Linked DNA regions of Oryzias latipes. The protein of the gene in region 1 interacts with the protein of each later gene in a pairwise test. Links are inferred from orthologs where the notes say so. Each region holds a gene or a part of one and is shown on either strand. Other genes may lie near its edges.

Region 1 (7,954 bases):
CGACGTTTAACGCCTCGTGACTAAACAAAGGGCACCAATGTGAGTGTGCACACCGACGCGAAAAAATGCCAGGCGTCAAAGCGTCAGTTTTTAAAAAACGCCTCGGGTTCGTTTTTTTGGTTTGACGCGCCAAAAACTAAACGACCAATGAGAATGGCGCTTTTGCACACGTGTCTGGAGCTTCTGAAGTTACAGTAAAACACAACTTGGGGGCGCTCAAACACAAAACTCCCTTGCTGAGCACACATACCAGCGAAGAAGATAGACGCCAAGTAGCGTCTACACAGCCGCGAAGAAATAATGACGGACATTCTAAAATATCCCCGAACCAAAAAAATATTCCCGAAAATTTCATGTTTTCATGTTATTCATGTTTTCTTTGTATTATTCTGACAAGCGTGTAAATACTTGCTCTCTTCTTCTGAGTGAAAAGCGACTTTAAGAAGCGTAAAGTTGAGCAGCGCCACCTTGTGTACAGTATTTCTGTTTACATTAAGCGCCATCTAATGTCAGGGAATGAAATTGCATGTTCACTCGGCTCATCGTCAGCAAAAATCGCCTGGGTATGAACACAAAAAACGTGGCGAATAACGCCTGGCGAATATTCGTCCCGGTGTGTACGGGCCTTTATTGGTTAAGAAACATTCATTCCTTTATTTTTCTTATACTGAAAAATATTTTGTGGTGGAAATCAGACAATGTTAACTGTTCCCTTTCTATATTTTAAGTTACCAAAATAAAAGCATTTCTTAACATTATGATCATTAAATAAACTGAATTTGACCATTTTATTAAATGGTAGTTTCTTCTAAGTCTTTTTTTGTTTGCCCTTCATGACACGTATCGTCTCGCCAGACTCTCGCCAATACACCCCCCTAATGAGAAATGACCAGCTCTAAAAAACGTCACGTCTGCTTTGTGGTCTCGTTAAGATTCGTTGAAATGTCTCATTTTGTTGCTAACGGCAACCAAACAAACCATTTATCAGAACAATCATCACCAAACCAGAGACCTGGAAGGATCTGAACGGCTGTCAGACTCATCGTAGGTTGTTGGAACTCAACAGTGTTTGTTTGTCTTCATCCCTACATCCATCCACGACAATATCCTGTAAACTGTGTTAGCGTGACATCAAATGACCTGATTGATGACATCACACTCATGTTTATGACAGAATGGCGTTGCTTGTGTCTGAATTCCTTCCCTACTCATTCTGTAGAGCGTTCTGCGTTTTCTAGTGCTGTCAGAATCTACACTTCCAAAGTCGAGTGCCCTAGAAATTTCCCAGAAGTCTCGATGCTCACTAGATCTGCGAATATAGACCACAATGGGGGTCGGCCGTGGTGCAGTGGTAGAGCGGTCGACTCCTGATCAGAAGGCTCGATTCCTGCCCTAACCGCCCATATGCTTAGGAAGCGCCCTTGGGCAAGACGCCAGACCCCACATTGCCCCGGTGGGGGGTTGGCGCCAGTGTTCAGCAGCAGAGTGTGCCACCGGTGTGCGACTGGGGTTGGTGTGTGGCTGTGACTGTGTGCTTTTATAAAGCATTGTGTTTTTGAGAAAAAATGTATTTTTTTAAAAATGTTTTCCTCATCTGAACTCTGTGGATTCATGAATGGTCGTCATAAAACACTAGATTTTCACTCTGTGAAATCGTGATGTCATAGTCGCGGTTTAAAAAAGTAGTGAGCGTGGCGTCCGACCTGCTTTTGTGTTCCAGGGCACTAGATAGTTTTTTAGTTGTTAGGGGTTTGGGCGGGAATTCAGACACAACCTTTAACTGTCAACATCTGTTTTCAGTCCAAATGTAAAGTGTTTGCGGAAACTCCGCCCCTTTATGGTCTGGTGGACCAGTAAGGTGACAGTCTTGTGCGCCCCTGCAGGTATGTCCTCATCGACACCCCCGGTCAGATTGAGGTCTTCACCTGGTCGGCGTCTGGAACCATCATCACGGAGGCTCTGGTGGGCGGAGTCTCCCGTCGTCTACGGCGTCCTGAAGTGGTCGTGGTCGTCACCTTGTGTTTGTGTTTCAGGCTTCGTCCTTTCCCGTCGTGGTCGTCTACGTGATGGACACGTCCCGGAGCGTCAACCCCGTCACCTTCATGTCCAACATGCTGTACGCCTGCAGGTAAAGGCAGCCGGAGTTCAATCTCCCAGAATGCTCAGCGCTGCATCTCAGGTCTCAAACACAGAGAACATGCAGTAAACGGCGTCTGCGGCGCTTTTCTACCTTCATTCAGGCCCAAAGTGCGTTACATCCAGACACACACATGCACACGCACGTGCACACACCATGCTGCCATGCGAAGGACCACCATGTCAAACCAAAGACACGTGAACAGGCAGAGTGGGAATCAAACCTGCCACTTACTGATCAGAGGTGGACCCTCATACCTGGAAAGTTGACCGATTTACAAAATAAAAAAATGACACAGAACAGACGGATTATTTCCATTCAAGCTTTTTGTCAAGTTTTTCCTGTAAATACGTTAAAACTGGAAATAAAAAGCAGAACAAAGAAAAGTTATGAGTAGAACCAACCATCAGGGGGCGCTGTCGGCGCAGACGCCAGCTTCATGTCTTCTTGTGGTTCTTTTGATTTGGATGTGGATTTTTATCCCCCCCCCCCCCCCCTCCTGCTGCCCCCCCTGCTGGTGTTTGTTGAATGAATCCTTTCTTCTTTCTGCAGCATTCTCTACAAAACGAAGCTTCCTTTCATCGTCGTCATGAACAAGGTAGGTCGGTCCCGCCTCCACGCCGTCACGCCGCCGTTCCCGCCGCCGACCGTTTGTCTGTTGGTTCTGCAGACGGACATCATCGACCACGGCTTCGCCGTGGAGTGGATGCAGGACTTTGAGGCCTTCCAGGACGCGCTGAACCAGGAGACGTCCTACGTCAGCAACCTGACCCGGTCCATGAGCCTGGTTCTGGACGAGTTCTACACCAACCTGAGGGTGAGAGTCAGGAGTCCATAGAGGTGCAAAGAGCGCTGACCCATGAGATCTACAGGGAACCAAATCCAAGTTCTGTCAGGACACATTAATCAATGTTTCAGCAGCTGCTTCCACAGAAATATGCCAGAGTTATTAGCACAGGAGCTACACTTCAGGATAAAACATTTTAGTATTAGTGGTCAAAACATTTACAAAGGTTATTTATAATAAAAAACACAGCAGGAACATCCATGTCTGCAGGCCTGCTTTGTTTTCAGCCGTTGGCTTAGAGCTGTGTGGAAGGTTGGACAGTTTTCATGGTTTCTGCTGTGCTGTGGCTGTTTATTCCATCACGGTGCTCCTCTGACACCACAGTTTGGCTGAAGTTAGCCCTGCGCCTTTGAACATCCAGTTAAAGTCCTGGTTTTTCTGTTGACATTTCAAAATAAAGGTCTTGTGAGGAGCGCTGTAGGAGAGGAAACCGGAGAAGAACACCGTAGAAACGTCTTTTTTAACTTCACTGTCGTTCATTAAACGTTGTTAGCTGTTTGTGTTCTGCTGTTTCTCCCTGCCGGTTCCTGAAGGTTACGCCGTGTGTCGTGTAGATGTTTTTCAAAGTCTGTCTGGACTTTTGTTCATAGCACAGAACAAACCGAGGCAGAGTTTAAGTGGGCGTGTCTCTATAGGTGGTGGGCGTGTCTGCTGTCACGGGAAGCGGGTTGGACGATCTGTTCGTTCAGGTGGAAGACGCGGCCAAAGAGTACGAGACGTGAGTCTGGGAAGCATAACGAAGCTTCAAACCCTCTGCTGCTTCATACGGTGAAAGTAACGAAGCTCCGCCTCCTTCCCCAGAGAGTACCGGCCTGAGTACGAACGCCTCCGCCAGCAGCTGGTGAGTGTTTGGCGTTTGTGTGTGGGGTCGACTCCGCCGGCCGCTCTCTGAGTCACGCTCCTGTTCCCAGGCGGAGGCGCAGAGCAGGAAGCAGCAGGAGCAGCTGGAGCGGCTCAGGAAGGACCTGGGAGCCGTGAACGTGACCGGGACTCCGCCCACAGGTGCAGACAGCCCCGCCCACTCTTTAAAAAACCCTGTATTTAACTCCAACTGACTCTGTGTCCGACCGCAGAGGGCGGCGAGGAGGCGGGACCCAGTGACCTCATCATGATGCGTGGGAACCCCGACAATGACGAGGAGGAGGAGGACAGCGACACCGACGACATCGACCACACAGGTGAGGAAGACGAAGGTGGACGGACTCCGTAGAAGCAACCAAACAGGCGGCCATCACAAACTCCGCCCCTGTTTGGTTGCTGTGGCAACCGAGCCAAATTCTGTGTCATCGAACAATGTGATCAACTTCTATCGGCCCCTGAGCGCCATCATGAGGCGAGATGAGGCACGACGAGAAAGAAAAACATCTCTGTAGAAAGTATCTTCATTAAGGGACAAACTCACTGGCTTCACTTTACACTTTCAGTTTGAAAACGTGTTGGAGGGAAAAAGGCGGCAAAACTGCGATGAAAAACGAAGCAAAGGAAACTTAAAGGATGGCAAAATCCATAAAGAGCCTTTTTTCCATATTTACATAAACATTAAAACAGATTTTTTAGTCTTTAGGGATGTTTGCTCTGCATTTTAACGGAACCGTGAAGATTTTCCTCCGTTTAGATGAAACGTCCAAACGTAAAGGTTTGACCCGCCGTCGGTCCAAACTGTTAGATCAGCGGCGCCGCTGGAGGCCATCCGGCGTCACCAGGCCAACCGGGAGGATCTTCTGCATGAAGACAGGTCTGTGCTGTGGTGGAGCGTCACTCCAGTTGTTCCTGTTGGAGACCTGTCTTCTGCTGCTGAACGTCTAGACTCAAATCCAAGAATTACATTTTATTCAGGCCCCCCCCCCCCTTGCTAATGTGATCAATGGTTCAGTCCGACTGTAACGATTCTTTACCCTCTGATTATTGATCCAAACGTCTGGATCTCATCTGTGATCGCCACAGCAGTTTCTGCTCACTTCACTCCCCACCCTTCCAGCTGCTGAGGACGCGCGTTCGATTCCCTCTCTGGACCAGGCGTGTGGATGTTTCCATCAGGGAGGGGGCGCAGAGACGCTAACATGTGAACGTTTGTGCTTTCAGTCACGGAGGAGAGCAAAGAGAGCGCCGCCTTCGGGAACTTCCTGAAGGCGAGACGGGAAGTGGTTCAGGTGCGGAACAGGAAGTGCGCCGTGCCTGAGGCGCCGTGACCTCTGAGCGACTCCAGACCGTGGACTGGCACAGGCTAATGTACCGAGCAGGTGGTGTCTACACACAGTGAGAGCTGTGGACTGATGGGGTGACCTTTGACCCCCATGCAGAGCTCCCGATCGGCTGCTTTGCTCCTTTAGAAAGTATTTTTTTATGGAAATGTTTTTGTTTTATGACTGTTTGCTTTTGTTTGTGAACAGATTTATGATCTAAACAAATAAACATCAGAGACTTCAGTCAGTGGCCGGCATGTGACGGTGACCCAGACGCAGGAAATGCATTTTAACAAATGTGTTTTCAGTTTTTACATTTCATTTAAACACTTTTTCTCACCCGAGTCTGTTTTACATTTAAAGGCCATAAAAGCTTTGAGAGAACAAACTTCCTAACGTAGTTTAGCCTCAGTTTTGGTCGTAAAATCCTGATTTAGGCTTTTGGGTCTAAAATGTACGGTAGTCAAATGACGGCAGCAGTTATTTGGAATTGAAAAGTCATACGAGTGCACAGACGGTGTTCCAGACTGAGTCTGGAGCTCCCCAAAGGGCAGCTCCTCTGTAGAGAAAGGCAGGCATGTCCAAAGTGCGGCCCAGTGGCCAAATGCAGCCCCGCCTTAAAGGGTCTATATCACTCTAAATCCACTTTTTAAGTGTATTATAATGTTTATTCCTCTCTATAAACAACCCAAAGTGGTATTTTGATTCCTTCCTGCATTTCTGTTTCCCCTCCCAACCCACAAAACGGGCGGTTCCTCACATTGTGACATAACAAAGTGAGGAACCGCCCCTTCCAGGAAGAGTCTGCGCTTCCAGCCCCGCCCCCAGGCTAACACCCACTTTCTCCGTGGAGCTAGCAGTGATCGACTTTGCTATGCTCAATATGCACAACCATTGTTTTGTGGGCGTGGCCTCCATGCTTGGTGAATGGATGTTGATGAGACATAAATGCAGGAACAATTATCTCCTGTCAGCGGAAAAACAGCCCACTGATGTTCTGGAAGCACCTCACCCCCACCCCCGGCCGGCACACAGTTTTCTTCTCCGGTTCTTCCTCCATTCATGCTTGGGCTCTCATGAATGGATTCAGCCCGCCCACCACCATCTGTCATCGCACGGCGCCCACTCGCCGCGTGGTCGGCCTGAAGAGCTGCTGACTCACTCGGAGCTGGAGTCTGAAAAAAGACACCAGAGAAAAAAAGTCTCATCAAGAAAAAGAATCAGATCTGCAAACTAAAATACTACATTTCAGTTTTAGTCAGAATCACAATAACCTTATCAAAAACAGAGACAAATGGAACCAAAATAAATCAAGTTTAGCCTAAATTACCAGAGGGGTTTATGCAAATAGACTCCTATGTCTATGAAGACTCTTTCATTCAGGTTGATTCCATCATAGCAGTAGGTTTAAAGGTCATCTGGACTTAGTTTTTAACACTGCTGTAGATGCAGTTTCAGGTCTGACTCCTCCCCCATGAGCTCTTAGACCAGCTAATTCTGAATTGACAAAGCCTCTTGGATAAGAGGTGAAACGTCTTCTAACTTTAAAACCAAGTCCAGATGACAGCCCCCAAACCTACTACTAAAAATAGACTCCTAGTGTGTCAGAGGACCCAGAACCGCCAAATCTGTCCAACACACGGCGCCTTCAGCTCCCGTCTGTCTGCTCAGCTCCTGGACACGTTAAAATAACCTGAGGTCTGAGAACCCCCACCTCGTTTTCCAGAACATCCTGTCCCTGCCGGACTCATCGGAACCACAACATCCACATCAGAAGGGGGGAGCTTGAAGACCAGGGCAGGGGGGGGTCAGAGGGTTTGGAGGTCCGTTGGTACCTTAATCCTCTTTAGCTGCTTCCTCTTGGGCGGTTCTGGATTTCCTAACACAATAGGTGTGTATTTGCATAAACCCCTCTGGTAATTTAGGCTAATTTTATATTTTTCTATTTTTGTACTGAAATGGTGATGCTTCAATTTCATTATGCAATGGACAATGACCATAAAAGAAAATCTAAATCTAATCAGTTTTTACATCATTTGAAACCAAATGTTTATGTTTTAGTTTCAACAATAAAACATCTTTAGATTGGATTTTTCTTTTCGGTCTTATTTTGAAAACCCAACATCCTGTTGGATTAGATGAATTCATTGTTCAACATGGAAAGGAGCCAGTTGGAGGATGACTTCATTCCAGTAAATGTGGTTAGAAAATCCACGTTTTCTTAAAGCGTCTTTCTGCTGGTTTGACGATGCTTTCAAAATAAGAGTCTGCTGGAAAACCTTCCTTTCTGTTCACGTGTGCCAGAACGACTTCAACAAAGATGGAAAAAACGCTCAGGATCTGATGATCATCAGCCAGAAATGAACGATGAGGAACAGTTTGGATCCAATTTTGCTAACTTCTCCCAAAAAGTAACGAAAAGTTGAAGGAAGTTAATAAAAGTCACAAAGAACAAATAAAGATGTCTGACCATAGAAACACCATAAACACCATAACCTTTATTATTTATTAGGGGTGGGTGTTTTTCTTGATTGACAGGTGGGTGGACTGAACAAACCTCTCCTCTTGCTTTGTGCCCCCCCCCCCCCATTTGGCCGTGATGGCGTCTCAGATGACCATGTGGGTGGTGTCAGATTACGGGTGTGTTTAAAATAACACGTCTGCAGAAAAATGACCTGGTAAACGAGTAGCTGCCATAGATTCACACTGATTGTGGTGCATTTAGTTAACCTCTAGTCTCAGTAACCTCAGACTAGTTAACCTCTAGTTTACCTGAAGGATGGACTC
Region 2 (7,352 bases), on another chromosome or scaffold:
TTTACGTTTTTATTGTAAAAGAACCTAAATGTAAGGACTTAATCCCTTTTTAAAATGTTATATAAGGACTTTGCGGAGTGTTTTGAAACTTCGTAAATGTAACCTGCCGGCTAACTGAACTGAACTGGTGACAACAACAACAACTGCATCGCTTGTTGTTTTCGTCTCGACATTTTCGGCCGCTTCCTGAAACCATGAGCACAACCGCGGAGGCAAAACCGTCTCTGCGTTTTGGCCAGGTGGTCATCGGACCTCCCGGCTCAGGGAAAACCACATACTGCCAAGGAATGCGCGAGTTCTTGAGCACCATGGGACGCAAGGTGGTGGTGGTGAACATGGACCCCGCTAACGAGGAGATGCCGTATCCCTGCGCGGTGGACATCTCGGAGCTGATCACTCTGGATGAAGTGATGGACAGCCTGAAGCTCGGGCCCAACGGTGGCCTTCTCTACTGCATGCAGTACCTGGAGGCCAATTTGGACTGGCTGGAGAGCAAGCTGAAGCGGCACGGTGACTGTTACTTCCTGTTTGACTGTCCTGGACAGGTGGAGCTTTACACTCACCAGAGTTCAGTCAAGAACATATTCTCCCAGCTGGGAAAGTGGAACTTCCGGGTGAGATGTCTCCATATCCAGATATTTCTGACTGAAAACCAGCTTTTTAGCCTGACACTTGATCTAAATGCTGTTGTGTCTATTCTTTCAGCTGACAGCAGTGCACATTGTGGACTCCCACTACTGCGCTGACCCAGCTAAGTTCATCTCTGTTCTGTGCACCTCTCTGTCCACCATGCTGCACGTGGAGCTCCCCCACGTCAACGTGCTCTCAAAGATGGACCTGATCGAGCAATACGGCAAACTGGGTATGCGTTCCGTTTACTAGCTCGTGTGAAGGTTTTCTCCACGGCGCTGACGCATCCTTGTGTTTGTCCAGCCTTCAACCTGGACTTCTACACGGAAGTGATGGACCTGACCTACCTTCTGGATCACCTGGCCACTGACCCGTTCTTTAAAAAGTTCCAGCGCTTGAATGAAAAGCTGGCAGAGGTGATCCAGGATTACAGCCTGGTCTCCTTTGTACCTCTGAATGTGCAGGTATTGCTGCTGTTTGTAAATGTTACTGTTTTTATCTAAATGTTACCAACTTTTAGTGATTTCTCTCAAATTATTTCAAATGAGTAAGTTAAAAATGGATGTTTTAAAAAATTATATTTTTCTTTCATTTAAGGTATTCTAATATGTTTGTGTTACACAATAACTGGTTATAAGCTTATAAAACACAAATGTTTTTTTTTTTTTATTGATGGGAAGCTTTAATCAGGAAAAAGCTTTAATTTTCATTTTTCCAGTTGATGTAAGGAATTTCTCTTCTGAATTTCTAAAGGTTGAGTTAAGTTAGGCCGCATTTACACTGCATGGTTCAAGTGACTCAATTCCGATTTTTTCCTCTCATGTGGCACAGATCGGATATGACCGGTGAATGTGTAAGCAGGACAAAAGCGCATGGATTCCGATTTTCTCAGATCGGATTCAGGCCTCATTCATATGTGGAAATAAATCGGATATGAATCGGATACGTGCATTTGCGTGTGCCATGTAGGCAGACAAATCGGATATTCCCCAGTAAATGCGAGTCGTACGTCAGTGACGTCAACTCAGGACATCACCAACTGAGATCACATGACTTATTAAGGTGCTTTTGTGCACTGATGTTGCTGTCAGCGTGTTACCTTTCAGCCTCAGGCTTAAGACCGTAGTCGGAAACCGCTGTTATTTCCGGTCCGGTCCCGGTCGGGACGTAAACGGTAACTAATGAAGCGGGACACCGTTGCTCTGGAACAGGCTAGAAGCCGGTTATATCTTTGCTTGTGTTTTTGCGGAGTGGGGGCGTGTATGATGGGGACCGCGCGTGGTGTGTGTGGGTGTGTGTGTGTGTGTTAGGAGAGGAGAGGGGATGTGACCACGGAGCGGGGGACTGTCAGAGAACCGTAAATCAAAAATAAGGTGTCCACTCTGGAGGCTGAGGGTTTCGAACGGGAAAGTGAACCCCGAAGTAGAATCCGCCTTCGGCCCTGGAGAAAATCTCCCGTGCGTTTCTGACCACGGTCGGAAAAAGAGAAGTCATCGCGCAGGAAAGGTTCAACACTTGGATCAAACTGTTAGTACAGCACGTCTGCAAACACTTCCTCATTCAAAATTCAGAGAGAGCTGAGGAGCCCTCCTTTTTCCTCTCCCGCGCATCCCTTCAGCAGCGCCCAAGACAACGCCTCCATCCGTCGCTGAGTTGCCTCCATGACAACCGCAGTCACAAAAGTCAGAAGGAGGTCCGCGGAAGGCAGAAATGCTGCTACGTAGTCCTCAAAACGTCTACGATTGATAGTTTCAGCATTGTATAGTGTGAAAGCAAAAATCGGATACGGGTCACTTTTAAAAGATGATGTAAGCGGGTCGTCAAAAAAATCGGATATAGTAGGAAAATCGGATATGAGCATCAAGACCTGCAGTGTAAATGCGGCCTTAATGTTAAACTTTCACATTTCTAGAGTCATTTACTGCATTTTATTTTGCTTAACAAAGTTAGTCTGGCTATCATTGTAGTTTTTGGACCTGAAAACGGGGAACATTTTCTGCAGGTGGATCTCAGTCCTGAAGTGTGTGGGCATTTGTTTCCTCACATTCCTCATAGATGAACAATGATTCTAAGCTGTGCGTGTCCACAGACCAGAGTCTGCGTGTCAGCACTTCAGATGGGACTGTTGTTTTCTTTCAGCAGATATTGTTATGGCTCTTGATCAAAAAGGGTGTGAATGGTGAAGCGTTTCCAGTTTTCTCAGCAATTTGTTATGTTCAACATTGACTTCATAAGAAGAAATGACCCTCCAGGAGAGGTAGAAATGAGGATTTTGTAGATTTGTGGGTTTGTGTGGTTATCTCACAGAGCCAAACCTTGATAAAACATTAGACCAATGACTTGATTTGAAGGTCACTTCACGCTGAAGATACAGTGGGGCAAAAACGGATTCTGTCAGCCACCAACTGTAAAAGGTTCTTCCACTTAAAAAGACGAGAGAGGCCTGTCATTTTCAAAATATGTAGACCTCAACTATGAGAGACAAAATGAGGAATGTAATCCAGAAAATCACATTGTCTGATTTTTAAAGAATTTATTTGAAAAATAAGTATTTTATCACCTACAAACAAGCAATATTTCTGGTTCTCACAGACCTGTAACTTCTTCTGTAATATGATCCTCTGTCCTCCACTGGTTACCTACCGTATATATAAGACACCTGTCCACAACCTCAAACAGTCACACTCCAAACTCCACTATGTCAAAGAGCAAAGAGCTGTCTAAGGACACCAGAAACACAATTGTTGACCTGCACCAGGCTTTGAAAACAGTATCTGCAATAGGTAAGCAGCTTGCTGTGAAGAAATCAACTGTGGGAGCAATTATTTGGAAATGGAAGACAAACAAGACCACTGATAATCTCCCTCCATCTGGGGTTCCCCGCAAGATCTCACCCCGATGGGGTCAAAATGATCACAAGAACGGTGAGCAAACATCCCAGAACCACATGGGGGATCTAGTGAATGACCTGCAGAGAGCTGGGACCAAAGTAACAAAGGCTACCATCAGTAACACACTACCCCACCAGGGACTCAAACCCTGCAGTGTCAGACGTTTCCCCTGCTAAAGACAGTACATGTGCAGGACCATCTAAAGTTTGCTAGGGAGCATTTGGATGATCCAGAAGAGGATTGGGAGAATGTCCTATGGTCAGATGAAACCAAAATAGAACTTTTTGGTAAGAACTCTACTCGTGTTTGGAGGAGAAAGAAAGCTGCATTTCGTCCAAAGAACACCATACCTACTCTAAAGCACGGTATTTTTGGCCCATTCCTCCATGCAGTTCTCCTCTAGAGCCGTGATGTTTTGGGTATAAAACAAAGTTTTGAGTTGAACTTTTGTTATTAACCAGTTACTTATTTTCCACCAAAATGTACAAATATATTCTTTAAAAATCAGACAATGTGATTTTCTGGATTTTTTTGTCTCATTTTGTCTCTCATAGTTGAGGTCTACCTATGATGGGCCTCTCTCATCTTTTTAAGTGGAAGAACCTTTTACAGTTGGTGGCTGACAGAATCCGTTTTTGCCCCACTGTATCTGCAGTGTGAAGTGACCTTCAAATCAAGTCTGGATAACACAGCTTCATTGGTCTAATGTTTTATCAAGGTTTGGCTCTGTGAGATAACCACACAAACCCACAAATCTACAAAATCCTCATTTCTACCTCTCCTGGAGGGTCATTTTTACCATCATATCTGCAGTGGAAGGTAAACAGGTGATAAAGATGGAGGTTTTGAAAACCACATTAATTTCAGTTGCTTTTGAATTCATTCATTTTCTTAACCTGTTTATCCCCTATAGGGTCACAGGGCTACCAGAGCCTAACCCGGCCACTGTTGGGCAAAGGCAGGGTACACCCTGGACAGATTTTATTATAATTATTATTATGAAGAAAGCACAAGCAGAAAAACACTCAGCTGCATATTTTTAAGGTTTCAGCAATCTATTGCAACAGTTTTGTGAGTGTCTCCAAGGGAAAACCCCCAGATCAGATGTTTTCTTCCTTCTTTCTGGAGGACAAAGAGAGCATGATTCGGGTCTTACGAGCGGTGGACAAGGCCAACGGCTACTGTTTTGGAGATTTGGAGGAGAGAAATCTACAGGCTATGATGTCAGCTGCGGTGGGGGCAGACTTCCATTTCAACTTGTATCCTTCCCAGATCCCTGCGCTGACTCACTGTGACTCATTTGTTTCAACATTAACTCAAAGAACAGTCCAGACTTTATACCGCCCTTTTTTTTAGATTCTAATGTTAGATTATTTCAAGTATAATCAAATTCATGTCTTAATAATAAGCACATTAGTTGCTATATTTCCTTAAGTGTTATTCCACAGCACACTTGGAGTTCAAGAGAGGTATGTTGAAACTGGTGGAAGGACCGTGGAGGAGGAAATGATGGAGCTGTAAATGAAGACTCAGAAGAGAAGGACCGCCGTACATTTGAAGACTCTTATTCAAGTTCTCATCTCACTGCCAGGATTTCACTACTGCTATTGAAAAAAAGGGAAGCCAGTGAGAAAATGAAAGCTAACTTTGCTGTGAAATATCACCTCAAATGAACCACAGAAGAGAGCATTCAGTTCTTCTAATAAAAAAGCTTTTTGGTCCTTTGTTTTATGAAATACACTTTTGTAAATAAAGCTTTTCTTTTGAAAGGTGTGAAAGTATTTCCTTTTTTAAGAGAAATTTTGAAATGCTGTGTTTAAAAAGTTACATTACATCATGAAATGCTGCCTTTATTTTATTAATCTGACATTTCCAAAATGCATTATTAAATATTTATTTCTTTTTTGTGGTTGGATGGTTCTTGGTTGTCCTCCTGCATCCACACTGTGAGAAGAATTTCTCCAAGAAAGAGACAGAAACCTGCATGTTTCCTCTCCTCTCTGTGTGATGGAACGAAATCCCTGCTGCTGCCTGCTCTTCTACAAACATCTGAACATTTTCTGTTTCCCAAAGATGAAGCGTCACCTCGACCAGCAGAGGGCGCATGCGCGTGCAGATGATCTCCCCCACCGATCCGCAGAAATCTGCTCCGACTCTTTCCAGCATCCGGAGCAGAAAAATTAAGTCAGGCGGGGAGAGGAAGCCACATTAAATCTGTGTTTCTGCACAACTGGCCCTGTGTCTGCTCTTTGGGATCTTCTGTCTTCATGAATGCAGCTCAAACTCCGCTGTATTTCTGCTTCAGTGTGAACCACTATAACCAATCCAATCCATGTTGTTTGGTCTCCTATTAAACCCATCTGAAACCCTCTCAGGCTGCCTTTTCCATGTCTGCACTTCTGCAGGGTTGCAGTTGGACTGACATAAATTCGTAAGCCACTTTGAGGACCCAAGCCGTTGTGGGAAATCAAATTAACCCTGTGTGGTGTGGCTGCTAATGACATGCGGGCACCGGGCAGCTTCCTGCCTGCTAAGCTGTGTGTGCATTAGGGGGTGTGTCAGGCAGAATGTTAAATTGTGTTTCTATGTTTGTACATGTGATCAAGTATCGCCCCCCTCACCGCCACTTCCTGCTTTTTTTTTCTTTCCTAACAGCCCCCTAGAGGTAGATAGATGTGTGCGTAAAGCGGAGCGCAGAGTAGAGTAGAGAGCGCGTGTGAGTGCGTGCGCGCCTATTTGTGTGTCGTGTGAGAATGTTAAACCGAAAGGCAGTGTTGTCCCACTTACATGCCAAATGTGAATTTCAACCAGTTGGATAAGGGGGGGAAACCAATAAGGATTTTGGGTTTTTATTTGGATCTTTTCTACCAAACAAGCAGTCCCTGAGACGCGCGCACGCACTTTTTCATTACCATCCCGCCCCTGCCCAATGCAGCGCGCACACCCAACTACCCCTGGCTGGAACGCGCCTGCTTTATTTGTCCTCCTTTAGAGGAGGTGCTGGGGGCCACACAACTCTGGAAAATGTTGTAATTGCTGTGAGACTTTGGAGGGAAAGCGAAAACACTCTGACAAACAGAAGATGCACGGGAAATGCGAGTTTACTTCAGCTGAGGGAGAACCTGCGCGCCCATCCCCCCACGCACAGCACACAGTGTTTCTGGTGGAGCGAGATACAGAGAGGAGAGGGGGTGGCAGCAGAGTAGAGCAGAGCTGAGCCGAGCCGAGCCGAGCAGGCAGGGGAGGGAATGTGCATTGGTAGTCTCTTGCTGCAAGGCTTCCTCCTTCTGTTCTGGAAAAACCTGTGTTGCTATCCTTGTCCAAATGAAACTGTGATAGGCAAGAGTGCACCAAAGCAAATCTGAAAGTAGAAAATACACAGACAAATATGAAAACTAATGTGTGTTCTTATTTATTGGAAGTATGTCATCTTATATGTCTCTTTGCACACTTAAAATAAGTAGCTAAACCATGTGGATTGTGACAATAAATGGCCTCAAAGATGTACAGAGTGGTCACAAAAAAGGAAAATCTGAGGCCAAATGTAAAAGATGATCTAAAGCAACCCAGACGACAACTGTTTGATCCCTAAAAAACAAAGTAGAACGAAAATGACTCAAAAAAAGACCACCTAAAATGAAATTAATGGAACTAAACAGTCTCCAAGGAGTAATAGATTGGTTTCAAAGAGCTGTGAAACCCAAGAGGGTATATTAAACTGAATGTTTAATCATGAGCCATGTCTCAAATTTTGAAAAATGAAGATGCAAATGTAAATAAAAAACAACAACAGCAATGTTTGGTATTTGGCTCAAAATTGTGAGGAAAAAG

The links.
Region 2: the proteins of gpn1 (region 1) and gpn2 interact in binary tests that used the Homo sapiens proteins (3 or more experiments, as listed by UniProt). The link is inferred for Oryzias latipes from reciprocal best matches to the Homo sapiens genes GPN1 and GPN2.

Annotation. Positions count from the first base shown.
Region 1 is NC_019861.2:37,313,383-37,321,336, forward strand, and holds the end of gpn1 (GPN-loop GTPase 1), read left to right. Parts: intron 1-1,883; coding exon 1,884-1,962; intron 1,963-2,033; coding exon 2,034-2,128; intron 2,129-2,689; coding exon 2,690-2,735; intron 2,736-2,807; coding exon 2,808-2,954; intron 2,955-3,619; coding exon 3,620-3,702; intron 3,703-3,785; coding exon 3,786-3,825; intron 3,826-3,895; coding exon 3,896-3,986; intron 3,987-4,057; coding exon 4,058-4,162; intron 4,163-5,066; coding exon 5,067-5,173; 3' UTR 5,174-5,511; downstream 5,512-7,954. UniProt on the Homo sapiens protein: Small GTPase required for proper nuclear import of RNA polymerase II (RNAPII). May act at an RNAP assembly step prior to nuclear import.
Region 2 is NC_019874.2:9,884,627-9,891,978, reverse strand, and holds the end of gpn2 (GPN-loop GTPase 2), read left to right. Parts: 5' UTR 1-194; coding exon 195-614; intron 615-705; coding exon 706-862; intron 863-933; coding exon 934-1,094; intron 1,095-4,649; coding exon 4,650-4,780; intron 4,781-4,969; coding exon 4,970-5,042; 3' UTR 5,043-5,294; downstream 5,295-7,352. UniProt on the Homo sapiens protein: Small GTPase required for proper localization of RNA polymerase II and III (RNAPII and RNAPIII). May act at an RNAP assembly step prior to nuclear import.